6 linked regions of the Canis lupus familiaris genome follow. The protein of the gene in region 3 purifies or fractionates together with the protein of the main gene of each other region. This does not show direct contact. Links are inferred from orthologs where the notes say so. Each region holds a gene or a part of one and is shown on either strand. Other genes may lie near its edges.

Evidence for each region.
Region 1: the proteins of GLMN (region 3) and CUL7 purify together in Homo sapiens (affinity purification with mass spectrometry; 4 studies listed by BioGRID and IntAct, counting the BioPlex papers as one, with this or other methods). This does not show direct contact. The link is inferred for Canis lupus familiaris from reciprocal best matches to the Homo sapiens genes GLMN and CUL7.
Region 2: the proteins of GLMN (region 3) and CUL2 purify together in Homo sapiens (co-immunoprecipitation; 4 studies listed by BioGRID and IntAct, counting the BioPlex papers as one, with this or other methods). This does not show direct contact. The link is inferred for Canis lupus familiaris from reciprocal best matches to the Homo sapiens genes GLMN and CUL2.
Region 4: the proteins of GLMN (region 3) and CUL4B purify together in Homo sapiens (affinity purification with mass spectrometry; 3 studies listed by BioGRID and IntAct, counting the BioPlex papers as one, with this or other methods). This does not show direct contact. The link is inferred for Canis lupus familiaris from reciprocal best matches to the Homo sapiens genes GLMN and CUL4B.
Region 5: the proteins of GLMN (region 3) and FKBP5 purify together in Homo sapiens (affinity purification with mass spectrometry; 3 studies listed by BioGRID and IntAct, with this or other methods). This does not show direct contact. The link is inferred for Canis lupus familiaris from reciprocal best matches to the Homo sapiens genes GLMN and FKBP5.
Region 6: the proteins of GLMN (region 3) and CUL9 purify together in Homo sapiens (affinity purification with mass spectrometry; 3 studies listed by BioGRID and IntAct, counting the BioPlex papers as one, with this or other methods). This does not show direct contact. The link is inferred for Canis lupus familiaris from reciprocal best matches to the Homo sapiens genes GLMN and CUL9.

Annotation. Positions count from the first base shown.
Region 1 is NC_049233.1:11,759,217-11,764,895, reverse strand, and holds the start of CUL7 (cullin-7), read left to right. Parts: upstream 1-2,474; 5' UTR 2,475-2,725; intron 2,726-3,566; 5' UTR 3,567-3,574; coding exon 3,575-4,154; intron 4,155-4,919; coding exon 4,920-5,071; intron 5,072-5,215; coding exon 5,216-5,679. Other genes in the region: MRPL2 (39S ribosomal protein L2, mitochondrial), read left to right, coding at 477-618, 726-841, 916-1,026, 1,212-1,399, 1,747-1,959. UniProt on the Homo sapiens protein: Core component of the 3M and Cul7-RING(FBXW8) complexes, which mediate the ubiquitination and subsequent proteasomal degradation of target proteins. Core component of the 3M complex, a complex required to regulate microtubule dynamics and genome integrity.
Region 2 is NC_049223.1:2,206,767-2,211,686, reverse strand, and holds part of CUL2 (cullin-2), read right to left. Parts: intron 2,665-4,920; coding exon 2,462-2,664; intron 372-2,461; coding exon 270-371; intron 1-269.
Region 3 is NC_049227.1:57,125,735-57,131,080, reverse strand, and holds the start of GLMN (glomulin), read right to left. Parts: upstream 3,810-5,346; 5' UTR 3,736-3,809; intron 1,277-3,735; coding exon of another isoform or gene 1,188-1,276; intron 1-1,187. Other genes in the region: putative RNA polymerase II subunit B1 CTD phosphatase RPAP2, read left to right, coding at 1,188-1,276.
Region 4 is NC_049260.1:93,256,615-93,261,534, reverse strand, and holds part of CUL4B (cullin-4B), read left to right. Parts: intron 1-1,240; exon of another isoform or gene 1,241-1,350; coding exon of another isoform or gene 1,351-1,378; intron 1,379-2,129; coding exon 2,130-2,672; intron 2,673-2,841; exon of another isoform or gene 2,842-2,945; coding exon of another isoform or gene 2,946-2,967; intron 2,968-4,767; coding exon 4,768-4,883; intron 4,884-4,920.
Region 5 is NC_049233.1:4,961,490-4,966,409, forward strand, and holds part of FKBP5 (peptidyl-prolyl cis-trans isomerase FKBP5), read right to left. Parts: intron 2,939-4,920; exon of another isoform or gene 2,936-2,938; 5' UTR 2,914-2,935; coding exon 2,809-2,913; intron 1-2,808. UniProt on the Homo sapiens protein: Immunophilin protein with PPIase and co-chaperone activities. Component of unligated steroid receptors heterocomplexes through interaction with heat-shock protein 90 (HSP90).
Region 6 is NC_049233.1:11,876,031-11,880,950, reverse strand, and holds part of CUL9 (cullin-9), read right to left. Parts: intron 4,805-4,920; coding exon 4,555-4,804; intron 4,467-4,554; coding exon 4,361-4,466; intron 3,820-4,360; coding exon 3,592-3,819; intron 3,307-3,591; coding exon 3,216-3,306; intron 3,095-3,215; coding exon 2,923-3,094; intron 588-2,922; coding exon 482-587; intron 203-481; coding exon 107-202; intron 1-106. UniProt on the Homo sapiens protein: Core component of a Cul9-RING ubiquitin-protein ligase complex composed of CUL9 and RBX1. The CUL9-RBX1 complex mediates ubiquitination and subsequent degradation of BIRC5 and is required to maintain microtubule dynamics and genome integrity.

The sequences.
Region 1 (5,679 bases), on a different chromosome or scaffold from region 3:
CTGTGTCTCTCATGAATAAATAAATAAATAAAATCTTGAAAGAAAGAAAGAAAAAGAAAGAGAGAAAGAAAGAAAGAAAGAAAGAAAGAAAGAAAGAAAGAAAAAAAGAAAGAAAGAAAGAAAGAAAACCAGACATACACATGAAGCTCATGACATTTTTCTTCACGCCCTTCAGAAATTTACAAAAGTTGAGCTCTATTTACATCACTCTGTAAACTTACTGGATTCACTAATTTATAACGATTTTGTCTCGAAGTCTTATATTATTTCAATATCCTATAATTATGTTTTTACCAAGCTCCATGTAGGTGTTTCCCCACCCCCATTTACCCCACTGCACTATGCAAATTTTTTATTATTTTCTGGTGTGTCATAATGTTAGGAAGTATTGCTGTCTTCCCAGGATGAGCCTGTTCCCCTGCTGGGAGCTGATTCATCTGACCTGGGTCATGTCTCTGCACTTACCCTGACCACAGGACGAATCCAAGTGCATGGTATTGGCGGGGGCCACAAGCAGCGTTATCGCATGATTGACTTTCTGCGGTTCCGGCCTGAGCTGGAAACAAAGCCAGGACCTTTTGAAGAGAAGGTCATCATGGTCCGCTATGATCCCTGTAGGCAAGTTGGGATGTGAGATGATGGTGTGGCTGAATGATTCATCTGTGGCTTTTCAGAACATGTAGGGCTGCCTAGATCATCTGCTCATATGTCTTCACCCCTCACAGATCAGCAGACATAGCTCTGGTTGCTGGGGGTAGCCGGAAACGCTGGATCGTTGCCACAGAAAACATGCAGGCTGGAGATATAATCCTGAACTCTGACCACATAGGCCGAATGGCAGGTAAGAGTGCCGCCAGATGTGTATGGGCCCGGAGGATGCAAGGGGTCTGGTGCTGATGAAGTTCTGTCTTTTAGTTGCTGCTCGGGAAGGGGATGCACATCCTCTTGGGGCCTTGCCTGTGGGAACCCTCATCAACAACGTGGAGAGTGAGCCTGGCCGGGGGGCCCAGTATATCCGAGCCGCAGGTATGAGGAAAGGAGCTGCTTTGGGATGGGGAGTCTTAAAATTTGGAAGACCAAAGGGTACCTGAGGTCACAATTCTCTGAAGTCCTGGCCCCACATGTAGTCCTCTGGCAGAAAAAAAGAAGAAAAACGAGAGTGGAGAGGTGCTTGTGTTTTGACCTAAAACATTGTGTGCATCCTACTTCAGGGTATCTGTTCCTAAAGGGCAAAGCAAGGTCAGGGTATGGGCTATGTCGCCCTGTAAATTTTCCCCCGCCTCCTCGTTTGTGGAAGACAGCAAAGTGGCTTCCCTCTTCCCCAGGGACATGTGGTGTGCTGCTTCGGAAAGTGAATGGGACAGCCATCATCCAGCTGCCATCCAAGAGGCAGATGCAGGTGTGTGTGAGTATAGGTGGGAGGGATCAGCAAAGGAGGAATTATCGGAATGCACCTTTCTTGTCTGGGATAGTTCCCAGGTGTTTTAGGAACCACCCTGAGCTAGGTGTGTCCTTTTCTGCCATGTGACCAGGCATGCCCTGTCAGGCTGGCACTATAATGGGAGAGGGAATAGTGCCTTTTGTTTTCAAATTACCATAGGACCTGCACTCAGGTTCGATGATGCTGTGGTTTTTTCCTGTCCTCTCCCTTCTCTCAGTGAGTGTAAGAAGCCTCCCCAGAGTCAGGAAATCAACGTCATGTTCTTTCCCAGTGGTGCATTCTCCTCCATCCGCTTTCTCCGTCAGGTTCTGGAAACGTGCATGGCAACAGTGGGCCGGGTATCCAACGTTGATCATAACAAACGGGTCATCGGCAAGGCTGGGCGGAACCGCTGGCTGGGCAAGAGGCCTTCCAGCGGGCTATGGCACCGAAAGGGGGGCTGGGCTGGCCGCAAGATTCGACCATTGCCTCCCATGAAGAGTTATGTCAAGCTGCCTTCGGCAGCTGCCCAAAACTGATATCGCTGAATTCTAATAAAATCGCTCCTATTTTTATCTGTTACTGTTTTTTGGGGAGGGAGGATGGTACATACTAGACCTGGGGGAGTGGGGGAACACAGGTGCAAACAAGGATGGAAGAGAAAGGAAAGGACGTTATGCGGCGAAGACTGGAGCTCTTCCCCTCTTTTCTAGCCACCCCACCCACCCCCGACTCGTGGGGGTTTTTTTGTTTTTTTGTTTTTTTTTAAATATAATGGGAGGAGGAGGAATAAATGACCTCCAAGGTCTTCTTCGGTTCTGACTTCGGGAATTGGAGAGAACACTTCCGGTGGGAGGAGGGAATACGGAAAGGAAGAGGAAAGGGCGGCGCAGAGGAAAAGGTGCCGCCCGTTGCCGAGGTGGCACCGGCGACTCCGCCCCAGCGCTCTCCTAGGGCCCCCAGCTTTCCGCTGGGTCAGCGGAAATGAGCCGCAGCTCCGGGCGGGTGGCGGAGCCCCAGAGCTGGGCGGGCGGCGCCGCTGGCTGAGCCCGGTCCCGCCTCGCCCCGGCGGCCGCTGACCTGTGCGCGCGGGCGGTGACAGTGGCCGCCCGGGGGTGCTCGGTCTCTGCGCGCCACGCCCCCGCCCGTCCTTCGGAGGCACGCCGCCTCCCGCCTCTCCGCTTAGACCCCCTCGGGGGCCCAGGCGGGGCCCAAACCTCTGCCAGCATCGCCGCCATCGTCTGCGCTGCGTCCCTAGCTCAGCGAAGGACAGGCCTCGCGCCGGGACCCCCATCGACTTCTGAGGTGGCCAGAGCCCCGCCGCGGCCCCTGCCCCTACCCTGGGTTTTCCTCTGCACACTCGCCCACCGGCCCCGCGCCCGCTCGATCTCGCGTCCCCCTATCCTACTTCCACAGTGCCTTGGGGTTCTCGTTTATCCCGTCTAGCCTCCTCCCCTGCACCTTCCCACGCGCCCCCAGCTCCTCGGGTCCACCTGCCTCTCGCCGCTCACCCACCGTGTCTCCTGTGCACCCCGTCCTGGGTCTCCCGTCGCCCCCACCGGCCCTGCTGCTCCAGTGTCCCCAGTCCTCGCCTCTGCTGCCCACCAGCGTCTCCTCCCGGCCCATCGCGCCTTGCCCTCACCCCACCCCAACCCACCGACAATTCTCCGGATCTCTTGTCTCTTTGACACACTCCTGCGCTTCAACCATCAGACCTAATGTCCTTTTCCAGGCACTCAGGGTCTCACTCCCCAACACACATAGCCCACCCCCACACCCCTCCGGGCTTTATTTATCTCCTCAGGGCTGCTGCCTGTCCCAGGGCCTTGGGATTCACTTGTAACTCCAAGGTTGCCCTGCCCACACTGTCCCCTTCCCACTGCTCCAAACCAACCCACTCCAGTTTGCAGGGCCTTCAAAACCCCCTTTCAACCAAATTTTGTGTTCTTAGAACAAACACCCCAGTGTTCCCCTGCTTAGGTCTGGCCCCACCCAGCCTGCAGCAGGCAACTCCTGGGCCCTGCTTTACTCCAGCCAACTGGACAGCTGTTACCACATTTGCTTCCCCAATTCCTGGACGTCCTTGATTTTCTGAACTCCCACTCTCATTTTAGCTTGCCTGTTCTCTTTTCCTTGTGTGTCTCAGGTGCCAGAATGGTGGGGGAACTCCGCTACAGGGAATTCAGAGTGCCTCTGGGACCTGGCTTGCATGCCTACCCAGATGAGCTGATCCGCCAGCGGGTAGGCCACGATGGGCATCCTGAGTACCAGATCCGCTGGCTCATCCTCAGGCGTGGGGATGAAGGGGAAGGGGGCTCTAGCCAAGTGGACTGCAAGGCTGAGCATATCCTACTGTGGATGTCCAACGACGAGATCTATGCCAACTGCCACAAGATGCTGGGCGAGGACGGCCAGGTCATCGGCCCCTCTCAGGAGATCACAGGGGAGGCTGGGGCCCTGGACAAATCTGTGTTGGGGGAAATGGAAACTGATGTGAAGTCTTTAATTCAGAGGGCCCTCCGGCAGCTGGAAGAGTGTGTGGGTACCATCCCTCCTGCTCCTTTACTTCACACTGTCCATGTACTCAGCGCCTATGCCAGCATTGAGCCCCTGACTGGGGTATTCAAAGACCCAAGGGTCCTGGACCTGCTCATGCACATGTTGAGTAGTCCTGATTATCAGATTCGCTGGAGTGCAGGCCGGATGATACAAGCCCTGGCCTCCCATGATGCTGGTGAGGAACAGTGTGGGGAGAAAAGAAGGGGAAGCTGGTTAGCTTGGGGCCTCACATGACACTGTGGCAAGAGCCTCTGCCTCATCAGTGCCTGAATAATTCTGTTGTCCTTCTCTTTGAGTTGGAAGAAAAGGAGATAGGAAGGTAGATAGGGACATCTCTGTAGGAAGAGGAAGGGACAGGTTGTGGGTTGGGTGAGGGAGTGCCTGACTGGCTCATTCAGAAGAGCATGCAACTCTTCATCTCAGGGTTGTAAGTTCACCTTTTGGGGCATAGAGTTTACATTTATTTATTTATTATTTAATTAATTTATTTATTCATAGGGGTGGGCAGAGACATAGGTAGAGGGAGAAACAGGCTCCATGCAGGGAGCCCGATGTGGGAGTCGATCCTGAGTCTCCAGGATCATGCCCTAGGCCTGAGGCAGGTGCTAAACCACTGGTGCTAAACCACTGAGCCACCCAGAGTGGATCCCTAGAGTTTACTTTAAAAAAAATTAGAAAAGAAAGAGAAAGGACTGAATCCTCAAGAATCTCACATTAATCGAATCTCTACGCAAAGGAAGAGTTAAGGTATTTGATTACTGTAGGATATATATGTATATGAAATATGAATATAGGAAAGATAGTAAGTTTTTTTTAAGCTAATTAGCAAAACATTTCATCCCCAAAGGGTGACAAAGGGATTGGACTGAGAGAGAAGAGGGTCTAGGAGGGATGCCCGGAAGGGCAATGTGAGCAGTTACTGACTGGGTGTGAGTTTCAGGGACTCGGACCCAGATCCTTCTGTCACTAAGCCAGCAAGAGGCCATTGAGAAACACCTGGATTTTGACAGCCGCTGTGCTCTACTAGCTTTGTTTGCACAGGCCACACTCTCTGAACACCCTATGTCTTTCGAAGGCATCCAGCTGCCACAGGTATTCTGTGGGGAGGTTTCGGTAGGGGGGTGCTATAAACAAGACCGAAGTACCAAGCCTTTTTACCTGCCCTTAAAGGATGGTGTGGAAAGAGGAGCTAAAGCTGGGACAAGGTGGATGTAGGCCAAAGATTGCATCCTACAGGTCCCAGGAAGGCTACTCTTCTCCCTGGTGAAGCGCTATTTGCACGTCACTTCCCTTCTGGACCAGCTGAATGACAGTGCTGCAGAACCAGGAGCCCAGAACAACTCTGGTCCCGAGGAGTTGAGTGGGGAAAGGGATCGACTGGAGCTGGAGTTCAGCATGGCCATGGGCACCTTGATCTCAGAGCTGGTGCAGGCCATGCGCTGGGACTGGGCCTTGAGCAGACAAAGGCCTTTGGCACGGTCCTCCTGCTCCATCTTCCAGCCCCAACTGGCAGAGGCTGGCCCCGGGCTGCCACCCACCCGGGCCCAGCCCTCCATTAGGAGGTCAAGGAGGTTCCGCCCTCGCTCTGAGTTTGCAAGTGGCAATACTTATGCCTTGTATGTGCGAGAGACGCTGCAGGCTGGGATGCGAGTGCGCATGCTGGATGACTACGAGGAGGTCAGCGCTGGGGATGAGGGAGA
Region 2 (4,920 bases), on a different chromosome or scaffold from region 3:
AATATAGTCTAAAAGTATGACTATACTGCAATACCTTTTCCCTTAGATATCTATTATATTATACATTACTCTTAGATATCTATTATTTTTATAATCTAAAATACTGGCAGAGGTTTGGTTTGCAAGGTTTAGTAAGCTCAAAGAATAAATCATAAAAAAGGCATCACATTATTAATTTTGATGTGCAAAGTTTTCCATTATCTCAGTTACCGCTTGTGAAGTCCAATGTTTAAATATTTCCCAAAGAAATGACATTAAAAATCACTCACCTGTGGTGTGTCTTTCTGCATCGATGTAGTAATTTTAAATTTTGTTCTTTTACTGCTAAAGTTCATATTTAATGAAAATGAAGATTCTGTATCAATGTCTTCCTATAATTGAAAATAATGCATGTATATTTATAAAAATTAAAACAATTAAATAAGAGTTGCTGCAAATAAAATATCATAAAATTAAATGACCAAGCAAGACTAAACGCTCATCATTTTACATTATAAAGATTATTTAAGAGAAAAACAACTGTCTTCTGTAAAATAAAGAAAGAAGCAAATATCAATTCTTTTCTAATTTTATACTTGAATTTTAATCTGTTTAGATTTAGAAATAAGCTATGGCCCAACTAATATATATAACCATCGGATAAAGAGTCAAATTGTCTTAAACAGAATTTAACACTTTAATTCTTTTTTTTTAACACTTTAATTCTTATGAACTACTAGGCTCATAATTTATGTCACCCTATTTTGAAAAAGTGAGCAACCAAATGTCTTTTAAAGTGCTGCAATAAGAAAATACGTATACGTATTATAAATAACCCGACAACAGAAACAAGTAGTGTCCAGTGGCATACACGGCTTTAGTATGGTTCTTATGAAGTTTACCCTCGAATTCATGTTTTACTGTCTGCCAGAAGCACGTGGCCTCTTTTCAAGTGAAAGTTGTTAAGTCAATTTTTATAATCACAACTATCAAGCTTATGAAAGCCACTCTGATCACACATGGTGTTTTCTCCATTAGCAAGATCAAAAAGCACTTAGCAAATGAATTCATTCTCAATAATAAGCTAAGAAGTTCTGCTAAGGAACAGCAGATTCATAGTTAAAATTTATGTGCAAACAAGCAATCATCTATATTTTGTACATTCCCGGGCAGCAAAAATAATACATTTTAGAAAATACATAATGTCTTAAGTACTTAATTTAGCTTATAAACTTAAACTTTTTAGGTTATAAGCTTAAAAATTCATGCTTAATGATTGACTCAATTAAAATCTTAATATTAAGAATTTAATATTTTGTTAAGATTCTGAAATCAAAAATTAATTTCTCAGTATTAAGAAAAGCTTGATTTGAATTTCAAAATATATGCCATTTAAAACTATTTAATTATAGGCTACAAAATATCATCCAGCAGGGGCGCTTGGAGGGTATAGTTGGTTAAGCGTCTGACTCTTGGTTTCAGCTCAGGTCATGATCTCAGGGTTATGAGATTGAGACCTGTGTTGGGCTCCACATTCAGCAGGGAATCTGCTTAGGATTCTCTTCTCCCTCTGCCTCTCCTGCCACCCCCCAAATAAATAAATCTTTAAAAATATATATCATTAATTAAGTGAACTGATGACAGAAATAGTAGGCTATTAACTTCACCAAAATAAAAATGATGTCTGATTTATAAGAATTTTTTCTTACAGGCACAATTCGAATTAGGAGATTTAACTCACATCTGTTGCTTTTGAATCATTTAAATATCCAGGATATATATATATATATACTATAACAGTAACAAAAACGTGTTACTAGGGAAAAAAAGCTATTAAGAAAAGTAGTATATTCCTGGCTTGCTATTCTTGTGACAATATATTTGTACTACAAATATATGGTGGTTATTAGTTGAGTCCTGGACTGAAGGGACAGAAGAGTGAGAGCATTCAGAATTGTCACACAAGCTAAATATACATATAAATAATATCAATAGTCATTTTCTATTAGAACCATGTAATTAAATAATTAAATATCAATTAAACACATGTGAAAAAAATCAGGAAGATTTAGGATATGCTATTGTTTTTAGCCTCAATTAACCAGAATCCAGCCAATTATAAAGGGCACAGAGGCACCAACTTCTCTGTGATTCCACAAGCTCACAGCTCTAAGTAGCCAGCAGTATTGCTAGCTGACTCCAGTGCTTTCCAAAGTACAAAGGGTATTACTGATTATAATCTTACTTTAAAAACTGCAAACGTCTCAAGCTATAATGTTTATAATGCTTAAATTCCTCGAAATAGGGATGGAGCGTTTGCCTTCAGCTCAGGGTATTATCCCAGGATCCGGGATTGGGTCCCGCATCAGGCTCCCTGTGAGGAGCCTGCTTCTCTCTCTGTCTATGTCTCTGCCTCTCTGTCTCTCATGAATAAATAAATCAATCTTTAAAAAAAAGAATTCCTTGAAATATTACCCCATACCTTTTCTGAATCATGGTTAATCATTTTCACATCAAGTAATGATTTGATTGTTTTTGTCAGTTCCTTTTCATTCATTTGAGTGCTGTCTTGAAGTTCTTTATAGCTGACAGTTTCACTGTTGTTAAAGGCAAGAAGAACTGCCATTTGGTATGTAGTAACCATGGCTACATATGGTTTGCCCAAATAGTTCATTTTAACTTCACCTACAATTAAAACAAAATTGTGACAATAAACTGATCATTCAAAGAAATATTTCAAAGTTGTTTGAGTAATAATTATTTATTTCAGCTACTTTCTCCTGAAAGAATGAGCCAAGGACTTACTAAATTGTTACTAGCAGTGTAATCAGTTTATTTGTTTCGGGGGATCGGAGGGAGGGCTATTAGTTTTGAGTATGCAGTATAAATCACAATTAAACTATCAGACCTCTACCAGTGTGTAACAATGTCTTTAAGTGTTAATAGGAAAGCTAAGACCTGGACAAGAAAAAAGCAGAAACAGGAGGTGAGGGCAGGAGAAATGGACAAAAGGAGAGAATGACAGCAGGTGACCAGTAATGGCTTTATGTGCTGCCTCTATCTTGGTTCAAGCACTCAGGGAGGTCCACAGGTGTAAAGGAGATGCTTCTCCAGTGGCTCCATCTAACCCACAGCTTCTGCTAAAATTTAACAATGCTACTTTATCTCATAAACATCATTCTTCCCAGTAACTTTCTAGGGTCATACAAATGGGAGGAGAGACAAAAAGAAAGATCCATTATTTTGTGGAAATAGTTGATAGAACAAAAAAGCTCTAGATTCTATGCCAACCTGAAAGCTATAAAGGATACAGCAGGTTTAGGCACACTACGGTTCTGGGACATTCCAGAGGGACAGCACACTAAAAAGTTTGTAACAAACAGTATGACAAACATGTACATGTATGCACTCTGTAACACATAAAATAAAAAGCTAATGCAAGTCAACAAACTGTTTCCTAAAGCATAAAGCTGTAGTTTAGTGACTGTATTTGTCTTTCTCATATACACACCCCCTGCATTATTCAACTGTCAATGGATTATAAACTAAACCGCTACAGATCTAGTTTTAGAGCTCTACATTTTAACTTAAGGGAGCTGTATGAACCTTCATGAACCTACCCCAGAGGCTACATTCTCCCTGTTAGTAGTAATTAGTAACTCTGATCAAGATTTTGTGGTTCCTTTATTTATATATATATATATAATTAAACATTTTAAAAAGATAGTCAATTCTCCAACTTACTATGACACAGATGGCTATTCAAACTTTCATTATGCCTCAACCTATTTCAGAAACAACCGTTATTCAGATAATTATTTGGAAACACCTAAAAAAAATTCCTTGTCTCTGAATTTTCATGAAAGGTGGTTAATAATAATGAATTAGAATAATCAATTCACACAAAATAGTTTAAGTAAAAAGTTAATATTAGGAGTATCCTACCAACATTAGCACAAAGAATATTTTAAGGACTTTCATTTCAACATTTAAGTTTGGGAAATGTGGTGAAAAGTCAAATATCACATAAATTGTTAGCATTTGTGCAATGACTGTTTAATCATATGTCAGAAACAAGTATGGAATAATGCATCAAGCACCTAGATGATGAAGTAGGACCACCAGGCTACCCATCACTGATGCTGTCAGGGCCCAGAATGAGCCCCCTGCCACACCCAACAACAGTCTTTTATCACCATCAGAACCCAAGGAGCATTAGGAGACAACACAAGTAAAGGGTCAAAATATCATTTATTTATTATTAAGTTCATTCTGCAACACTAGAAAAACTAGTTAGCACTCTATTAAAACTTTTTTCCTGTTTTTTTAATTGTCAGCATTAGGGGTACATGGGCCTCTTGCCTCCTTTTCAGCACTATTATCTTACAAGTTCACAGTTGAATAGATTGGGAAAACGATAGAGGGCATATGTGGGGCAAGGAAGGACATCTCAAATTTGCACGATTCATTTAATTACTGCCGTGTAAACAGAAAAGGAAAATGACAAAACAGTTCATTTAACCTGCAGAATAGTTTGGCAAACTCGATGAAACTTCAAACTAGAATAAAGCATTCTGATACACATATACTTTAAAAAATACACCAAATATAACTGAAGACATATTTACAACTCATTACAAGGAAGTAATGAGTGGGCAGAACTCATAGTTTCATCCAAATTACTCTCCTTTACTGACAGCTCCTTAGTCTCTAAGGGAAAGCTTTTCTTTACAGAAGAAAGTCAGTTATTAAATGCTGAATGAATAATAGAGTATTGCCAATTTGTAACCAGTAACGGAATAACTGATTCAAGTCATGATCATCAATGGCTGCCAAAGCCTAATAGCAAAGTCGTTCCTGAAAAAGGGTATTCATATGGGACCCAGATATCACCCCTCGGATCACCTGTTCATTGAAAAGGGAAATGAGTTATCTTTACAA
Region 3 (5,346 bases):
TATTATCTAGTAAAGTCAAGTTCACACATTTTTTATGGCCAAACTTTTCTGTTCTTTGGTATATATTCTTAGGGATTTCTTGCCTGTATGTATTGCTATGTATGTATAGGAATGTTCCTAGTTGGATTAACAAAATATGCTATATTCATAGAATAGAATGTTCTTCACCCTTTTAAAGGAAGGAAATTCTGACACATACTACAGCATAGATGTATTTGAAGACATGTTAAGTGAAATAAACCTGTAAAAGGGACAAATATTAAATGATTCCACTTATATGAGATAACTAGAGTAGTTTGATTCATGGTTACAAAAGTAGAATGGTGATTATCTGAGGAGGCAGATATGGGGATTGTTGTTTAATGGGTATAGAATTTGATTTTGCAAAATGAAGAGTTCTGTAGATGGATGGTGTGATGGTTATACTACAGTGAGAAGGTACGTAGTGCCCATGAACTGTAACACTTAAAAATGGTTAAGATGGTAAATTTATTTTACAACAGTATTTTTTTTTACAACAGTATTTTTTTATTTTAAAAATTCTTTAAAAATGTTTATCAGGCACATTGTAGTGATAGCAGAAAAGTTAGAAACAACTCAATTATTCGTAAACAATAAAGGTATAAATATAGAAACTACACCTCCATGAATCTGAAAAATATAATGTGGAACAAAAAAAATCCCAGAAAATATAGCAGTACAATTATATTTAGACAAAGTTTAAAATTAGGCAAAACTGAATGATATCTTTGTAGGTATGTATATATAGATAGCAGTACTAAAGAAAAGCAAGGGAGTTAGGAACACACAATGTATGATAGTGGGGAATATGGAAGGTGATGCTATCTGGGACAGACACATCGAGAGCTTCAAAGGTATTATACATTATTTCTTACCTTGGGTTGTGGACTCATGGGTTTTCTTTTTTTTTTTTTTTTTTGATAGTCACACAGAGAGAGAGAGAGGCAGAGACATAGGCAGAGGGAGAAGCAGGCTCCATGCGCCGGGAGCCCGACGTGGGATTCGATCCTGGGTCTCCAGGATCGCGCCCTGGGCCAAAGGCAGGCGCTAAACCACTGTGCCACCCAGGAATCCCCGGTTTTCATTATTTGAACTATGTTTTCAGTACATAAGTTGTGTTTCATAGTAAGAATGAAATAATTTGCTAATTAAAAAATTTTTTTCAGTGCTTTTGCAGCAACTTTTGTTACAAAGCATCTAAGTTTTTTGAAGCACAAATTCCTAAAACTCCAGTATGGGTTCGAGAAGAGGAAAGGTAATTTAAATCATTACATATAATTTGTTGATATATTCCAGCTTTCTGAGATATGTAGAGAGTAGTGCTAGTTTTCTGTAGGATGTTACCATTGTATACATTTTAATTGTGGGGAAATGCTTTTATTTTAAGCATAGTTATTAAGGATTTTACACTTAAAATCAGAAAATTAATAAATATAAATGGTGTTTCTTTGCTGTTTTCGTTTTTTAAAGATTTTATTTATTTATTCATGAGAGACACAGAGAGAGAGAGAGAAAGAGAGGCAGAGACACAGGCAGAGGGAGAAGCAGGCTCCATGCAGGGAGCCCAACGTGGGACTCGATCCCGGGTCTCCAGGATCACGCCCTGGGCCGAAGGCGTCACTAAACTGCTGGGCCACCTGGGCTGCCCCTGCTGTTTTAGTTTTAATCACAAAACCTGAACGTCACTTCTGCTATGTTAGTTATTTCTATTAACTCTATTAGTATAATAATCTTAGAGTAAGAATGTTAAAGTTTTCAAGTAGATACTAGATCTTAGGATCCAACTGAATTTTGTTAGAAAACTATGTACTAAAAAACAACTATGTACAAAGGTTAAAAAGTTCAGGTTACTAATTCACTCACTATTAAAAATCAGTACAGTATTTTTTTAATTTAAACAAATCCAATATAATTTTTAGCAAAAAAATATTATGAACATTCCTGGGGTTTTGCCTCTTAGGAAATGTTTAAACTTTTACAACATTTCAGTAGTTGCTGAATTTGAGAGAAAATTTATTATTGAGGGGCAAATGCCATATGTAGAAAAGGTAACAAAAATTGTTATGTAATTGAACTATGTTGTCCAATTTCAAACAAGGTTAAATGAAATAATGTCCCAAATAACTCATGTTTCATAGAGAATATTGCAACACAAGGCATGTGGTAAAAGAGTATCAATGCTAAATGAACTTAATGACATAAACATAATGAGATGCAAGTTAACTAAAGACCTTTGCCTAAAGAAAAAAACTTATTTAAGTGTTATCTGATGCACAAGGTAATATGAAACCACTGTAGTTTGAACTAGCATCATTTGTACTGAGGGACAGTCCTGTTGTTGGCTGACACCTTTGCCTGCAGATCCAATGCTGTGTGGTTTAGAATATGTAAAGGGGCGCCTGAGTGTCTCAGTCAGTTAAGCGTCTGACTCTTGATTTCAGCTCAGATCATGATCTCAGGGTTGTGAGTTCAAGTGCTGTGTTGTACTCTGCACTCAATGTGGAGTCCACTTACGATTCTTTCTCCTTCTTTCCCGACTGCCCCTCATTCACACACACTTTCTTAAAAATAAATATATATATAGAGAGAGAATATGTTAAGCACACCACTCTATGACCTTTGTTAATTGAATTACACATAATGAAGACAAACTTGTTCACTACTTCTCTACTAGCCTTTCTTATTTGAAGGATAAAGGATTGTAGCATTGTCGAAGGTGACTGGGGACCTAAGAGTACCTTCTTAACTATTACTTTTCTTTTTCTCCTTTCTTAATGTTTGTTTCAACAGAGCTGCTTATTGCCTCCTCAGTCTTAGGACAGCTGCACATATTCCATTCCCCAGCTGTTAAAATCAGTGTTTTCTTAAGTTATCCTTAACATTGTTTCCAGTGATATCTTCTCTAGTTAAACTTAGCCCATCCTCATATCTGCTTCAAAACTATTTACCAAACCACCCTTCCTGTCATCTTGATATTCTTCAGATACACTTATTGGTACTTCCTTCAGCTAATCTAAAACAGTTTTTCCCAAAATCTTATTCTATGTTCAGAACGCCCACCTTTTCCCAGAATGTGAAGCTCTGTCACTTTATGCTTGGGGTTCTTGAAATTCTACTTTATATGCCCTTCCCTACCTCACTAAAAAAGAAAGATGAAAATGGCATTGGTTTCCCTAATTTAGACAAATCAATTTAATTTACATTCAGTGTATATAATGTGAGCTTAGTATCCAACAGGCTACCCACACCTGTACAAACAACACACACACTTATGAAACCAAACCTGTGAGTTTAAATTGAAATGTTAATGGAATGGCATAACAAGCACACAAATGAAACAAATTTACTTATTCTAATGAGGACAAGTATTGGGGAGCCTTCAAATGCTATTGAACAGAATTTGATCTGACACTGGTGTACAAAATGAATTAAAGAAGAAAAGATCATAATTAAAGAGCTGAAAGGCCCTTAGGGACAATTTAACACAACATCTTTATCAAATAAGCTCAGAAAGATTAACTGTATTTCTTAAGCGAGTGATAGGTTCTCAACAATACCAGGATTCCAGTTGTTTAAAAGTAACTAGTGAGTAACCTATAAATATATAATTGTATACAGTTATACTACATGTATAATGGTAGCCCTTATTTTTGTATGATTCTTGTTAGTATATAACCATATTAGTATCTTTTATATCTCCAGTATCAGGTTTACCTTAATTTATAAATTCTTACTGGCAAGCATTATGTCAGTTTATTTCATGAATCCACTAGAGGTCACTGTGTCTTCAGAGAATGTTTGATATTTTTAAGTGTTCCAAAGATCAGAATTCTAGAATTCAGTATTCTTTTAAAAAGCCTTTCCAGCTGTTGCATATGTAAGCTCTACAGAAATGTGATTTTTAAAGTCTGCTCACATACAGTATCAGGTATATAATGTTAAATAATACCATTCAGAACCTATCTTTTTTTTTTCCAAAGATTTTATTTATTTATTCATGAGAGACACAGAAAGAGAGAGGCAAAGACACGGACAGAGGGAGAAGCAGGCTCCATGCAGGAAGCCCAATGTGGGACTCGATCCCAATACCACAGGATCATGCCCTAAGCCAAAGGCTTAACAGCTGAGTAACAGCTGAGCCACCCAGGTGTCTCAGAACCTATCTTCTTTTAAAGGGGAAAAAATTGTTGCTTTTAAATGGCAGGATTTAGTATTTAAGGAAGAGATGTTTTCATTAGTTTAAAGTGTCATCATACTAAATCATATCACCATAATTAAGTCATAATTATTTTGTTTTATTATTTATTTTATTAATATTAATAACTATTGAATACTTAAAATTTAAAAAAATAAGAGCAAATTTTAAAATCCACTCAAAGAATTGAATATTTTATTGCACTGACCACCATAGTATACTTTACATTATAATCCAGTACATGCATATTACTGTCAGTCTGTTATCAACACTAAGCCTTAGTTTCCTCATTTGCAAAGTAGAAAGTTGCATTAATCTCTTAGTTCCCTTTAGTTCTAGTGTTTTACAGTCTGAGTCAGTCACTGTCACCATAGTAAAAGTTTAGATAGGAAATGTTTTATTTATAAAAGTGATGAAAATTAAAATTATCGGCATAAGACTAGGGAAAGTCTGTAAAGAAGGCTGATAAAGGGTAAGATCAAAGTTTTTCAATTCTGAAGAAAAACCAGGAATGTTTTATAGCATGTCCAGAACAACTTGAAGTTGACATCTTCAGGGAAACCATGATCTTGCACACTATTTGGAAATAGAATATTGAATTTGACTCAGTTTAGTTTGTCTTATATTGTTGTGAAAGCTAATATAATTTACCAGATACCAAAATACTAAAATCTGTAGTGTCTTTTAACATTTCTAAAATACTATTTTATACCATAGAAAGCTCTCTACCCTGATAATAAACACATATAGATAGATTTTAAAAAGATTTAGACAAATCCATGAATTCTAGCTCCATACTTCTGTTGAGGCTTTGGAATCGGAAGGGGCCTTTGGAGTTTTCTACTCCCTCATTTTTATTATTAAAGTATGAAAAATATCTGGAGTAGAATCTTTAATGTCACGAGAACGGCCGTGTTTCCCACAAAATGTCTCCTGATACTGTCTCAGAGACAAAACATTGACCTAGATGACTTAGATCATGACGCAGTATGATGCTTCTCATGTTGTGAGTTAGAAATTTTTCACCCACTTGGTGGCCAGAAACAGACCACATACACTTAAATTCCTCTGAGACAGTGTACTCATTTAGATAGTCATATAGTTATACTTATAAAATCTGTTTTGTTTGA
Region 4 (4,920 bases), on a different chromosome or scaffold from region 3:
GGAAATTCATTTTGAAAATGTCTTTGTCGGGGAATCCCTGGGTAGCTCAGCGGTTTGGCGCCTGCCTTTGGCCCGGGGCGTGATCCTGGAGTCCCGGGATTGGGTCCCGTGTAGGGCTCCCTGCATGGAGCCTGCTTCTCCCTCTGCCTGTGTCTCTGCCTCTCTCTCTCTATGTCTATCATGAATAAATAAATAAATAAATCTTAAAAAAAAAGAAAATGTCTTCCTCTACTGGTTTCTCAATGGCAGGGCCCTGGTATAGTGTGTGGCATAAAGTCTTTCAGTACATACTTACTGAATGTTTCTGCAGTTAGAACGATAAACAGGTTGGCAGATCTTGTTTTATTTGACATTGTGCTGCCCCCCATGTCCTCAGGTTAAATAAAAACTCCTAGCAGGAAATGTACAAGGTTTATTGTTACTAACTTAACCAAATTTAGAGGTTTGTTCTTACAAGTAATCCATTTTGAAATTTGGGCTTGTGGAATACATTGTTAGAAACCATTGATTTTTGTGAACATCATTCTCCTCAAATGTGTTCTTCAAAACAGTGTATGAGCTGAGATTTGGTAAAAGTAGCTATGTTTAGTCTGTAAATTACTGGATTGACAACGGAGGAGATCAGGGTTGGGCTTGGTCCTGGGAACTGTGTTCTGTGTGTGTGTGTGGGGGGGGGGTGTTAGTTACCTTCCTGTTTCTTGGGCCTTATAATGCACCCTCAACTCTGGCCAGCCATCTTAGAAAAATGCTCCTGTTAGGAAGGTCAAAAGATTTGTAGCTACATTACTCAGAAAGGTACCAAAATTCAGGTCCTTTTCATATTGGGTTAGGGGCGTCCTTGACATAAGATAAACAATGCATAGGTCAATCGAAGCAAAAACTCATTTTCTCTCTAAGATCTTTTTCTTTTCCTTTCCTATTTTAACATCATGACATTCCTGCTTGGCAGCAGGCATAATGCTATGATTATGTTTTCCTCCATTTCGGGTTACTCCCCTTGCCTTGCAACCCCTCCTTATTCCTTTATCTCTTTCAAAGTTTCCATTCTCCGCTCCCTAACTTTTTATTCCCTCCCTTCTTCTCTTCCTCCTCCTCCTTTTTCCCAGCTAGCTCACCCCGCCCCTCACCGTCACCACCTTCCCTCCCCTTCAGGCTCCTTCCCGCTGCTTCTCCCGCCACCTTCCCCCCACCCCGCCCGCCTCGCGTTCAGAAAGCTCCAATCAGCAACTCGGGAGGTGTCTCAAAAGCCCGCCCCCTCCTCCCTTTCCACTTCTCTTCCCCCCCTTTCTCCCTCCCCCATCCCCCCCCACTCAAGTCCTGCGGACCTGGGGGCTTCGGGACCTGGGCGCTATGAAAAGTGTCTGCCCAGTCACTTCCGGTAAGGGCGCTGCAGCGCGAAGCTCCCCGCGGGACCGTTAAGGAGGGGGTGGCAGTTACTGGCGGGCCAGGGAAGAAGAGTGCTGCCAGGGAGAGGGAGCGGGAGGGGGGGCAGCGAGAGCGAGAGAAGGAGCACGACCGTCTGGGGCGCCTTAGCCGCCGCTTTCCCGCCGCCTCCCTCCCAGCCAGCTCCCCCGCCCCCCGGGCGCCTGCAGTGCTTCTCTCCACCCCCCACTCCCGGGGACAGACGCCGCCCCTCCCTCGCCGCCGCGTGACCGGAAGTGGCGCCATCTTTAGCCTCTTGTGCTATTGACAATAACAAGCCCTGGTTCTCTCCCCCTCCCCCTTCCCCCTCCCCCCAACCACGGCATCTCCCCTCCCAGAGAGAGGGAGAAAAGGAGGAGGAGCTGCAGCCTCACAGACTCACTGAGTCGCTCCTGCAGAAAGGGGGGAGAGAGACCGAAAAGCAGGGGAGGGGGACGGCACGGCCGTTTACCTGTCTGCCTCCTCATTCGCTCTCCCCCCTCGTTCTGCTCACTCCTGGTGTCAGCCTATCCGCCTTCCCAAACCCTCCCATTCCCCCGGTGTAGCCCCCCCTTCACTTTCCTTCTCGTCCTCTGTGTTTCTCCTCTCTTTCTTCCCTTCCCCCCTCTAGCATTGCCACCTTCTCTCCTACACGCACGCAGGCATATAAACGTAGGTTTTTGATGCTCCTCTGCCTGTTGACCCCGCTATTTTCATGTTTCCAACAGGTTTTTCTTCCCCCAATCCCTCAGCTGCTGCTGCTGCTCAGGAGGTCAGATCTGCCACTGATGGTAATACCAGCACCACTCCGCCCACCTCTGCCAAGAAGAGAAAGTTAAACAGCAGCAGCAGTAGCAGCAGTAACAGTAGTAACGAGAGAGAAGACTTTGATTCCACCTCTTCCTCCTCATCCACTCCTCCTTTACAACCCAGGGATTCGGCATCCCCTTCAACCTCGTCCTTCTGCCTGGGGGTTTCAGTGGCTACTTCCAGCCACGTACCGATACAGAAGAAGCTGCGTTTTGAAGACACCCTGGAGTTTGTAGGGTTTGATGCGAAGATGGCTGAGGAATCCTCCTCCTCTTCCTCCTCATCTTCACCAACTGCTGCAACATCTCAGCAGCAGCAACTTAAAAATAAGAGTATATTAATCTCTTCTGTGGCTTCGGTGCATCACGCAAACGGCCTAGCCAAATCTTCTACCACCACTTCTAGCTTTGCTAACAGCAAGCCTGGGTCTGCTAAGAAGTTAGTGATCAAGAACTTTAAAGGTAACCAAGGCCAAAATCCATAATCACTGACTAAGGATTTGACACTTGAGCGGTCACGTGCTCTATTTATGTTAATATATTAAACAGTATAGAGGTGGCCTAATGTTTTATGCATAATCAATGAGGTGGAGGGAGGTCCTTTTTTGGGTGGAGGGTTCATTTTCCGGGGGTGGTTAGTATTCTTGTGCTGAAGCATACACCGGCGTGTTTCTGTGCAGTATTTGATGTCTGGCTCAGTTTAATCTGTTACTCAGTGTAACATTGCCAGTCGGTATGATTGATCTGGATTATACAGGTGAGAAATTTGTATTCTAAGGAGGTTTATTTGTTTCAGGTGCATAGTGAGCTTTGGCACTGCTGGGATTTTTATTTTTATGCTTCAGTAGGCCACATTCTCTAGTCCCTAGAAATGCAGGTAGCATTGGTGATCTTTTCATGCTCAAAGATGATTTATAGTTAGATTTATAATGTTGGATACTATATTCTTGAAACTCCTTGTGGAAGCAGTTTTGGAGAAAAATATTTATGATCTCTGCATATCTTTCCAAAGATAGGGTTTGGAAGTGAAAAATACTGTATACACAAAAGTAGTAACTCTGTGTACCACTAGTCTAAAGATAGGAACAATTACTACATCTATTTTTTTTTTCACTAAAATGGGCTTTAAAGTACTGACCTGCAGCTTTTAGGAAAATTTGTTCATTTCATGTTTGAGATATGTGATTAAGAGTATTATGAGTGCATTGATGCATGTAAAATCAACAATTTTTAAAAACATAATTGAAATGAATTACTTTTTTTCTGTTGACTGTATTTGTTTTTCTGACTTAAGTTTTTCGACATCCTTAACTGGCAGGTAATAGATGCTAAGATGTTTATTAAATACAAAAGTAAATGAATGAACTGAAGTAGTATTTACCAGATAAGTGTCTTGTGGCTAAATATCAGTATTGAGAAAATTAGATTCTCAGTGCTTGTGTTTTCAACATTAGTGTGGAAATCAGAAATATGCTCTATTTTGTCTAGAGCAGAGGGTTATAGTGTTTATTTTTAACCTTTTTTTCCTATCACTCCTCTCCCATCCCCAGGTTCTTAAGAGTGTTGTAATCTTTCTGATTTAATAGTAGACCTTTCTGAAGTAAATGTGAATTGTAATTGACTAATATGTTCACTGTTCCAAAGTATATCAATTTAACAGTCAAGGATTTTTAAAGAGAGGAGTTATGATCCTAATTTAATTTGCATACTGGTTTCTGAGATTTTGTTTGGGTTTTTTCTTTCCCTCTTAAACTAAAAACATATCCTTAAGGCATTAGGATATTTTAATTTAAAAAATACTCATTGCTGGTCAATGAAGTTTAAAGCCTGGCTTAAGGTAGTCCTGTCCATTCTGAAAATGCTACAGAGGTTCTGGAGTCATTTGGATGTTTTAATTTTTTTAAATTTTACTCTGCTCATGGATGTAGTTTAAATTAAAATCTGAGTTAAGATGTTTCTCTTCATTTGTAGATGGTGCATAAATGTGGGGGTCAAACAGAGTTGGGTTAGAATCTCAGTTTTGCCACTGATTAGCTTTAATGACCTTGGGCAAGCCTTACTAAATGAGTCTTCTAGCCTCAGTAGTTTTCTCCGTTGTAAGATAGAGATAAATAATACCTTCCTTAGAGCATTGTTAGGGAGATTAAGATGTTTGTAAGGTACTGTGTGCACAGTGGATATTCAGTATTTTAAATCTTAGGTGCAAAATTCATGTTGACTGACTTAGGATTTACATGTGATGGAATAAGATCGGGACTGTTTTTATCTGTGATTTTTGAATTTTGATTTTTTAAAGCAATACAGTCAATTGAAAAAAAAACCTCTCACCTTTAATTTTAATAGGTGAGTCAAAATGACTTAAACAGTATTCTGGCATTTCAAATTTTATTCTTTATGCTAAGGCTAAAAAGCAGTAATTACTTTAATAATTAGATGTTGTGATTATAAAAATCACAATTTACCCTTGAAAAGCAATAATACTATTACTGTACTTTAGTGGAGCCTTCCATTACTATATCCTACATATTCTGATATCAACCTTGTACATATCACCTAGATAAGCCTAAATTACCAGAGAACTACACAGATGAAACATGGCAGAAGCTGAAAGAAGCAGTGGAAGCTATCCAGAATAGTACTTCAATTAAGTACAATTTAGAAGAACTCTACCAGGTATGTATTAATGTGGATAACCAGATTTGGCAAGCAT
Region 5 (4,920 bases), on a different chromosome or scaffold from region 3:
CACCCTCATATCACCACATAAACACTGTAAGCTTATATTCTACAATTTTCTAGTTCAAAAGTCCAGATATTCTTTAAAGGAAAAGAATCATTATCACAGCTCCACCAAAAACCTGTTAGAACTAATCATTAATGAATTCAGTAAAGCAGGAGGATACAGAATCAACACACAGAAATCAGCTGTTTTTCTACACACTCATAACAGGGATATATCTGAAAAAGAAATAATGAAAACAATCGAGAAATGCAAGTCAAACCCACAAGATACTACCTCATCTGTTAGAATGGCTAAGATTAAAAAGACAAGAAATAACAAGTATTAGTGAGGTTTTGGAGAAAAGAGAATACTCGTGCACTGTTGGTGGGAATGTAAGTTAGTGAAGCCACTGTGGAAAACAGTGTGACCATTCCTCAAAAAATTAAAAACAGGACTACCATACAATCCAGCAATTCCACTTCTGGGTATTTCTCTGAGGAAAACGAAAACACTAGCTCACGAAGACATATGTACCTCCTATGTTCATTGCAACATTATGTACAATAGCTAAGCTATGGAAATAACCTAAGTGTCCACAGAGAAACGAATGGATGAAGAAAATGTAGTATGTATATTATATACACAGTGAAATGTTAATCCAGCCATAAAAAAAGAATAAAATCTTGCCATCGTGACAACATGAATGGACCTTGAGAGTATTACGCTAAGTGACAGAAAATCCTGTATGATCTCATTTATATGTGGAATCTAAAAAAGCTGACCTCACAAAAACAGAGAGTAGAAGGTTAGTTGTTAGGGGCTCTAGACTGGGAAAAATGGGAAGACATGAAGAGTTACTTTAAGTAGATGCTTTAAGGATACAATCTAGTCTTGATTCAGCTCCACAATGTAATTTTATTACTTTTATAGTAATAAAAGACATGACTACAGATGAGGCACTCTGCTAAATGCTTTATATAATCTCAATAACTATATGAGGTGGGTAGTATTATTCCAATTCTACAAATGAGGAAATCTCACCACAGAGAGGTTAACTAAAATGCCCTAGGTCATATAATTAGTAGACCTATTTAATCTTAACCAAAAGCCCCATGGTGCTAGACAGGGATAAATTATAGGATTTAAAAGGCTTAGGATCCCAAAATGTTTCTTACAAACCTAAAAATCTTATCGGATTTACTCCCTGGAATAATACAGGGCTGGAGGCATATTGGGGACTATGTTCTCTGTATGGGTGCATGGAAAAGATGAAAGAGAAGGACTTAACCAGAGCAGGGAGATGCCGAGGACAGCCTGCAGATATCTATTGTCTCTAGAAGCATCCTGGAGTTCAGGATAGGTAATTCATACAGGTTAAGAAGCCCTATGGAGGGATCCCTGGGTGGCGCAGCGGTTTAGCGCCTGCCTTTGGCCCGGGGCGCGATCCTGGAGACCCGGGATTGAATCCCACGTCGGGCTCCCTGCGTGGAGCCTGCTTAGCCCTCTGCCTGTGTCTCTGCCTCTCTCTCTCTCTCTCTGTGTGACTATCATGAATAAATAAATAAAATCTTAAAAAAAAAAAAAAAAAAAAAAAAAAGAAGCCCTATGGAAAAAGACAGCGGTATATAACTCTAAGACATAAAACCCCTATTTCCAGAGTTGAAAGTCCCCAAAATTTGGCTTTGCATGTACGTGGCAAGCTAACAGTAAAACGTATATTCAGAAGACTCAGGCACAGGAAGAAAGCTTTCACATAAGCAAGACTAGACAAACTAAAAAATTCCCATTTGCTGCTGCTGCTGACACAAGGAAATATTGAAATTCAGCTTAGTGATGATATTTAGAACGTGTAAGATAATCTTTTCAGCAAGAAAAAAAACTATACAAACTTGTATGAGTAACAACAGTGTAGGAGAAATAATGACCTAATATGACTAAATTCATTTAACCTCTCTCAGCTCCACTTTATTTACTTACCTGGAATACCAATATATACCTTCCATAAATAAAATGGAAAGTTCAAGAGGTGCTCTGATTATCTCACAAGACCATTGTGAGACACAAATAAAAACACACATGTAGATGTGATTAATTATAGAGTGAAAAAGATATAGTGTGTTTTAATGAGGAAAGCTAATTCAAAGGTAAGATATATTCTCTGATGAAATCTCAAAAAATACCTTCACTGCACAAATAACAATTTGCATGTGAAAAAAATCCCTTTGAACTTTAGCAAGTTACCTTTTCTTTTTCCTCTAAGTCTTTTGAATTGTCACCAATTAGCTTTAATATACTGAAATATTATGTTAAAATAATAACCCATGTGTACGCTCTGAGAACTGGGAGACAGAGCCTTCTAGAGTCACACATAACTTGGATCTGGACCCCATTCATTTACCTGGCTGGGCCTCAGTCTCACCATCTATAATTTGGGATTTTTTTAAAAGATTTTTTATTTATTTATTCATGAGAGACACAAAGAGAGAGAGAGAAAGGCAGAGACACAGGCAGAGAGAGAAGCAGGATCCATGCAGGGAGCCTGATGTGGGACTCGATCCCAGGACCCCAGGATCATGCCCTGGGCCAAAGGCAGGCGCTAAACCACTGAGCCACCCAGGGATCCCTCCATTTTTAAAATATAATTTGGGATTAAAACAAACTTCAAGTCATGAAGATGAAATGAAAAATGGTTGTAGTGTTTAGCACTTAGGTAAGCCTCAATAAACATTATTGACCTCCACCTTCCAGCCAAAAGAAAAAAAGAAAGATTTTTATAAATTATCCTTCCAGACAGCAAATTTCCCTGCATGTCATTCATCCTTGTAACCTCACCTTTAATACTCCTCTATCTTTTTTTGAGGTGATATCCTCTCCACGTTCAGCCACAGCTGCTGCTGGGTTTTCTCCACTGTTCTTGGCACCTTCATCAGTAGTCATTGTCTTTTATAAGCAAGAAAACCTGCTGAGAAGAAACATATTTTAACTTAGAAAAATAGCACTGCTATGAACATCTGAAAGTGCCCCTACATATGTATGGGCTTTCCCTGATCTAAGATTTACATAGGGCCAATAAAGTTAAATGCTGAAAATGAAAGCAAAAACACTTGTCATGAGCATGTATTGATGTCATGTGGTATGTACATAAAACACCATCCAACTCTTTAATTTCCCATCCAGCACTGGTCCCAAACTAGAGAGCAGTACAAATCAGGTTTGGTAGTGATTATATTCCTTAACATTATTACACACCGAGAAGCAGTACTTTAGAACTCTGAAAATGTCTTTTTCCTATAGTCATATTTTTGACAGAGAATTAAGAACTTATCAAGTGATCTGATTTTTAAGATGACAATATACAGGGGCACTTGGCTAGCTCAGTAGTTAAGCATCCAACTCGATTTCAGCTCAGGTCGTGATCTCATGGATCATGGGGTCAAGTCCCACATCAGGCTCCACGCTCAGTGGGGAATCTGCTGGAAGATCCTTTCCCTCTGCCCCTCCTGCCACTTGTGCACACTCACCCTCTCACTTTCTCTCTCAAAAATAAATAAACCTTTTTTCCCTTTTAATGGCAATATAGCATAGTGGTAAACAGAACAGGCTTTAGAAGCTGACAGACCCCAGTCCAAGTCTTAGCTCCAGCAATATCTGTCCAACACCTGCAAACTTAATCTCGCTGAGCCTCAATTTCACATCTGTAAAAGGGATGGAGTACATTGTTCATGGAGTTACTGTGAGGCATTAATGAGACAATGTATGTGAAGAGATTAGCACAAATCATAACTTAGAATTTTAAGTATTTATCATGCTTATTATGGGTCCTCTTTGGAGCTACATTTTTTATCTCCTGCTCAAAATATCTACAGAATGAGGTTCTTCCCTAGCATGGCAGTTGAGGCCCTTCACAATCTGATCCTAACTTATCTTTCAGAGGTCTAGCTTCCACCACTTTCTTTTACTTTCTTTCATGCAGCTCATGCTCGAGCCAAACGAGAGTAATTCCTAACTAAAGCAAAGCCCACTGCTTTCCCATCTCCATGCTTTTGGCCTCTCATCTTCTTCTCCAAACACTCCTCCCTCTTCAATTCTTCCTTCATCATACCAATCCTGACCCTATACTTGGAAGTTGTTTGCACTTTTCTGTGCTATCATATATTTATAAGAAGACACACTGGATGGATTTAAAAGAAACCTTGAGAGCAAGGGCCATGTTTTGTTCATATTGAGATCCTCTAGAATGCCTCCACCTCTCAGACTGCTAAAACGAAAAGAGCAAGGAATTTGGAGCTCCTTACAAGATGTTTGATGTTGGCTATCTCTAACTTTTCGAAGCCTTTTCTCCCACCTATGTAATTGGGATAATATCTACTTTCACAGGGTGATCTTCTGGATTAAATGGTATAACGTGTATTTCTAGAAGTATACATTCTGAAGTGGGCTCTTACTATCAGTCACCCAAATGACAAGCACTTTTTCATGCATGGCAAACCAAACCAATGGGCCAATCAAACAAAACACACCTCACTGTCTGCTGCCATGATTAATTCTACACTGCTCTCCTGGTTGAGCGGGGAAAGTCAAGAATGAATCACTTCTATAGCTATTCCCTATTAGACTAATAATGAATAAAGCTCCCCTAAAGTCAATATGGAATAATAGTACACTGCTGTGTTTTAAACTCATTTCCAATTGACCTAAATTTATTTCAGTGTCAACAAAGACACAAATCAAATTCTGCTGTGCCCAAAAATCTTCAAAGAGAACACCAAAAACCAGGGGCTAAGCCCCTTTGCTTTATTTTCTAGTACAGTTTATACCAAACACAAAAGATCCAAATGCTTGGCTCAGGATAAGGGAGAGGCCAGAACAAAGCATTCTCAAACAAACAACAACAGAAATTAAGTACCCAGCTGTATATGATGCTAGGCTAGATAATTAGGAAAA
Region 6 (4,920 bases), on a different chromosome or scaffold from region 3:
GAAGATGTGTGGCCTGAGCCTGGCACGCAAATGCTGGGTAATGCAATCACTATGAAGACCCTATGCTACCCCATGATCCCCAGCCCGGCCTCTCCCCTAACCCTACCTGCTGGCAGCGCTTTATGCGGATCTGGATGATGGGCCAGAAACGGTTCAGGTTCTCCAGGAGGATCACCCGGCTGGCGGAGGGCATCACATTGACCTGATGGGGTAGGGGAGGAGAAAGAACTATCACCTCCAGAAGTGGGGCTGGAGGAACTACTGACAGCAACCAAATCCTGTGACAGTGTGTGCTCTTTACTTCTGTCCTAAACCCATGGAACCACGCAAATTTGCATGCTGAGCTCTGCTCTCACTGCTTAGGAGGCAAAGCCTGCCTGGGGAAAGGAACATGGGAATCTCCCAGGGACTGGATCCTTCCCAGGAGGTCCTGGGATAGAAAGATGGGGAGTAAGGTCAAGAGGGGCACCAGGGTCCCCACCGTGTTGAGCTCAGTGCTGATGCAGCTGGCACTGTCACCTCCGAACACCACCACCCTTGCCGGCATGTAACTTGAGTCCTCACTGGCCACGAGCAAAGTCAGCTGCCTGGGAGAGGAAAAACAATCATTTAGACCTGGGGCCTTGGTCTTTGTTCAAAATGACTTCAACCTGGGCAGCCTCGGTGGTGCAGCGGTTTAGTGCTGCCTACAGCCCAGGGTGTGATCCTGGGGAGCCAGGATCGAGTCCCACCTCAGGCTCCCTGCATGGAACCTGCTTCTCCCTCTGCCTGTCTCTCCCTCTCTATCGCTCATGAATAGATAAATAAAAAATTTTTTAAAAAATGACTTCAACCCACTACTTCCTCCTCAGACCCCCATCCCGCTGCCTCCTTAAGTGTTAGTCTTCCCCAGAGCCTCTGCTCTATCTTCCATCAAAGTGACTTTATTTAAAATCATAGTTTCAGGATGCCTGGATGGCTCGGTGGTTGAGTGTCTGCCTTCAGGAACAGCGTAATCCTGGGGTCCTGAGATTGAGTCCCACATCAGGCTCCCCACAGAGAGCCTGCTTCTATCTCTGCTTCTTTCTGTGTCTCTCATGAATAAATAAAATCTTTTAAAAAAGAAAAAAAAAAAAACACCATAGTTTCAACCAAAAACCAATTCCCTAATGACTCCAAATCCACATCTCTACCCTAGATGGCTCCTCTCAGCTTTCATGCTGTGTACCCAGCAGACGTTTCCATATCACACTCCATAGGCACCTCAAAGTCAACATGCCCAAAAGGAACCATTATCTATCCACAGAGGTCTGCTCTTCTTCCTACAGTCCTCTAGGGAAGAAAACTGCCATCTCACTAGAGTATTCACATTAAACTATGTGACTTCTCTGGCTCATGGCTTCCCTCATGTCAGTGGCACATCCTGTAGACTTGAGATCTGTCTGCTACTCCTTCCTTATTTCCATTCCCTCTGCCTAACTGAAAACATTCATTTTTTTTTTTTTTTTTTTTTTAAGATTTATTTAGTTATTCATGAGAGACACACAGAGAGAGAGAATCCCGAATCCCGGAATCACAACCTGGGCCAAAGGCAGGCGCCCAACCACTGAGCCACCCAGGCATCCTGAAAACATTCATTTCTCAACGAGACCACCGCATAAACCTTCCAACTCTGGCCTTCAACCCAAACTCTCATAATCACCAGGGTGACTTTTCTAGAAAAGAAAAAGAAAAGAAAGAAAAGAAAAAAGAAAAGAATTCAGTTTTGTCTCTTGTATTCTTTTTTTTTTTAAATATATATTTTATTTTTTTTAATTATTTATTTATTTATTTATTTATGAAGTCACACAGAGAGAGAGAGAGAGGCAGAGACATAGGCAGAGGGAGAAGCAGGCTCCATGCACCGGGAGCCTGATGTGGGATTCGATCCCGGGTCTCCAGGATCGTGCCCTGGGCCAAAGGCAGGCGCCAAACCGCTGTGCCACCCAGGGATCCCCTGTCTCTTGTATTCTTAAAATCCTTTAGTGGCTCCCTCAGTTTCAGAATAGTGTTCAAACTACTTAGCTTACAAAACTCTGTGGTCTGGCTCTACCTAGTTTTCTGGCTTTGTCTCTTGCTATTTTTCATGACACACATCCTTCTTTTTTTTTTTTTTAAGATTTTATTTATTTATTCATGAGAGAGAGAGAGAGGCAGACACATAGGTAGAGGGAGAAGCAGGCTCCATGTAGGAGCCTGACATGGGACTCAATCCCAGGTCTCTAGGATCAGGCCCTGGGCTGAAGGCAGCACTAAACCACTGAGCCACCCTGACTGCCCAACACACACCCTTCATTCCAGCCAGTCACTTAAACTTCCCCCAAATACATCACTGTGTTTCTTACTTCCATTTTACACAGATGCTATCCCTCTGCCTGGAGTAGCCACTGCCTCTCTTTATATAGCTAATTTCTACTTTGAAAGAACTCATTTAACATCTCCTTCTGGAAGACTTCTCTCACCTCTCACTTGGCCTCAGGGTCCACATCACTTTTTCTTACTCTTACTGATTTTCCAGACTAACTCCCCAACAAGACCACAAGTTCCCTGAGGATGGGTACTATATCTAATTGTCCTTATAGCCCTAGACCCTGGCCCAGTGCCTGGCACAGAGTATACATTAAGCAAGCACCCATGGAAAGAATCAACTTCCCACAACACCATGCACATCTGTCCCTAGTAGGAGGAGCATGTCAACAGGCTCAGGGAGTAAGAATGTCTATACTATACAAGGAATGTAGATCTATGTGTCTATCTATTCACTGCACAGGATGGGTTTGAGTGTGTCTCTAACGCATAGGGTTTATAGAGTCACATATGTGGGTGCTTGGAGAATGTATACTGGGGTGTATCAAAATATTCACGCGTGTGTGTATGCATATGTGCACATGAGCATGTTCATACCTAACAAGAACACCACGGTGCATGTGCAAGGTGATGTAATGGGAGCCAGTGCTGCCGTTGGACTCCCAGTAGGTCTTGGGGTTGCGGTCCGTCAGCTTGCTGGCCCGGTGCGGGTTGGAGGACACCTCCACCTTCTCCCAGCACTTGTCCTCCTTCACTTCCACACTGGAGCCTAGGGGTAAGTGGGAGGGGGTGGCCATCACAGTCTAGTTAGTTGAGAGAGAAGAAAGGAAAGAGACGGGGAAAACAAATACTGGGGTGGAAGCCAGAAGAAAGCAGATTGGGGCACAGACCCTGGCAGAGATGCCTGAGAAACACGTCAAAGAAGGGGATGTTGATGGGTTGGTGGGTTCGTCGGTGGTCTTCGATCTGGCCCAGCACCATCTGCAGTGGGAACAGTGGAGAGAAGGGGTATGGGGAGGAGGGAAGAGTGTGAACATACAGAAACATGTATGGAGAACAAGTCAAGGGGCAACAAAACACTCAACCTCTCTCTTCACACATTTTGGCAGAACAGGACCATGTGGGGTAAAGACTGGGGAAACAAGTGCCCCAGATTTGCTACCATTTGTGCCAAATAGGGTTACCAAAGGAGGACCCACAATGAATCCTCTTCCCCTGCTTCTGGTTTATGTTCTCCCTCAGCTCTGGACCCACACACCTCCTCACCTGAATGCAGCCAGCCAGGATGCTGGACGTGAGGTTACTGTAGAGTTGGGCATGTTTTTCACACTCTGTCACCAGGTCCCGAAGCTCACAGGCCAGCAGCAGCTGAGCCGAGTGCTTGTCTAGGACTTTGGAGAGGGCCTCTTTGGCTCCCAGGCAGCAGAGAACCACAGCATAGTCCTTATGCATTGAGGCCAGGCGATGCAGAAAGTAGAGCAGCTCCTGAACAATCTGAGCCCAGAGCCACAGAGATTAACATATGGGAAACAAAAGGCAGGCCACATAAGGGATGAGGGGTGGGTTTAGAAAAAAGAATGTGGCAGATGAGTTTTCGGAGAAGCCTGAAAGCCCAGGAAAAGGAGAGTACCAAAGGTTGGGATAGAGCAGTAGGGTGTTGGGACTCCAGAGCCGGCAGAGCCTAGGCACAGCTCCCAATGCTTCTTCCTGCCAGGGCGAAGCTCTCAAGAGCCTGCCTTGGTGCCTGAGCCTTGGTCTAAAACACATAAACCCGAAAAGGTAGAGAGTGAGGAATGTTTAGATCGGTGAATGTGGGCTTCTCCCAAACTCAGAATCTAAAATGCAGCTGCAGCCAACAAATTTATACTTCCAAGGCCCCAGTTCTCAGGACTCTGATATGTCATTCCTTCCTAATTACCCCTCTGCCTTCAGACCCACCCAAAAAGGTTGCGCTTTGCCTTCCAGAGCCTTACAAGGTAGCTGATGCCCCCAGAAGCTGCCATTCCCTCCCCTGCACTTGCCAGGGCTCTGGTACCTCAGAGTCACTGCTAGGGCCACTGAGACAGTTGAGGCAGGGCTCCAAGACCTCGTGCCAGGGGAGGACCATCGCCTCGGGGTGATCCAGCAGCCGGGTCATGACCCTGGTTGGGGGATGGAGACAAGCAAAATCCCTGCAGTCTGCCAGCTCCCCTGGCCTCTGATACATGGGTGCCCCAACAGGCCCCTCACCTCAGTGCAGTCAGCAGCAGAGTTTTGTTGGGCCCTGGGGCGTCCAGAGTCCTCAGCAGCAGGAGGAAGGGCTGGGTCTCCTGCTGGAGGCGCTTGAGGAGGGGCCTCATGGCACCGCTGGGGCCGCCCTCATGGCACAGCACTCGTTCCAAGCCCAGGAGGAGCTCTGCAGACGGGCCCCCCGCCAGGGATCGGATCAGGCGCTCAGGGGACCCATCCTGGCCTGGGGCACCAGGGGTTTCCAGTGCTGCTGCCCGGACACATGGGAGGAAAAAAATGAGTATGAAGAGGAGTCATGCAAGTTGGTCAAACTGAAAACTGGGCAGGTCCAGAAAATCACCCCCCAATTTTCCTCCTGTTGGGAGG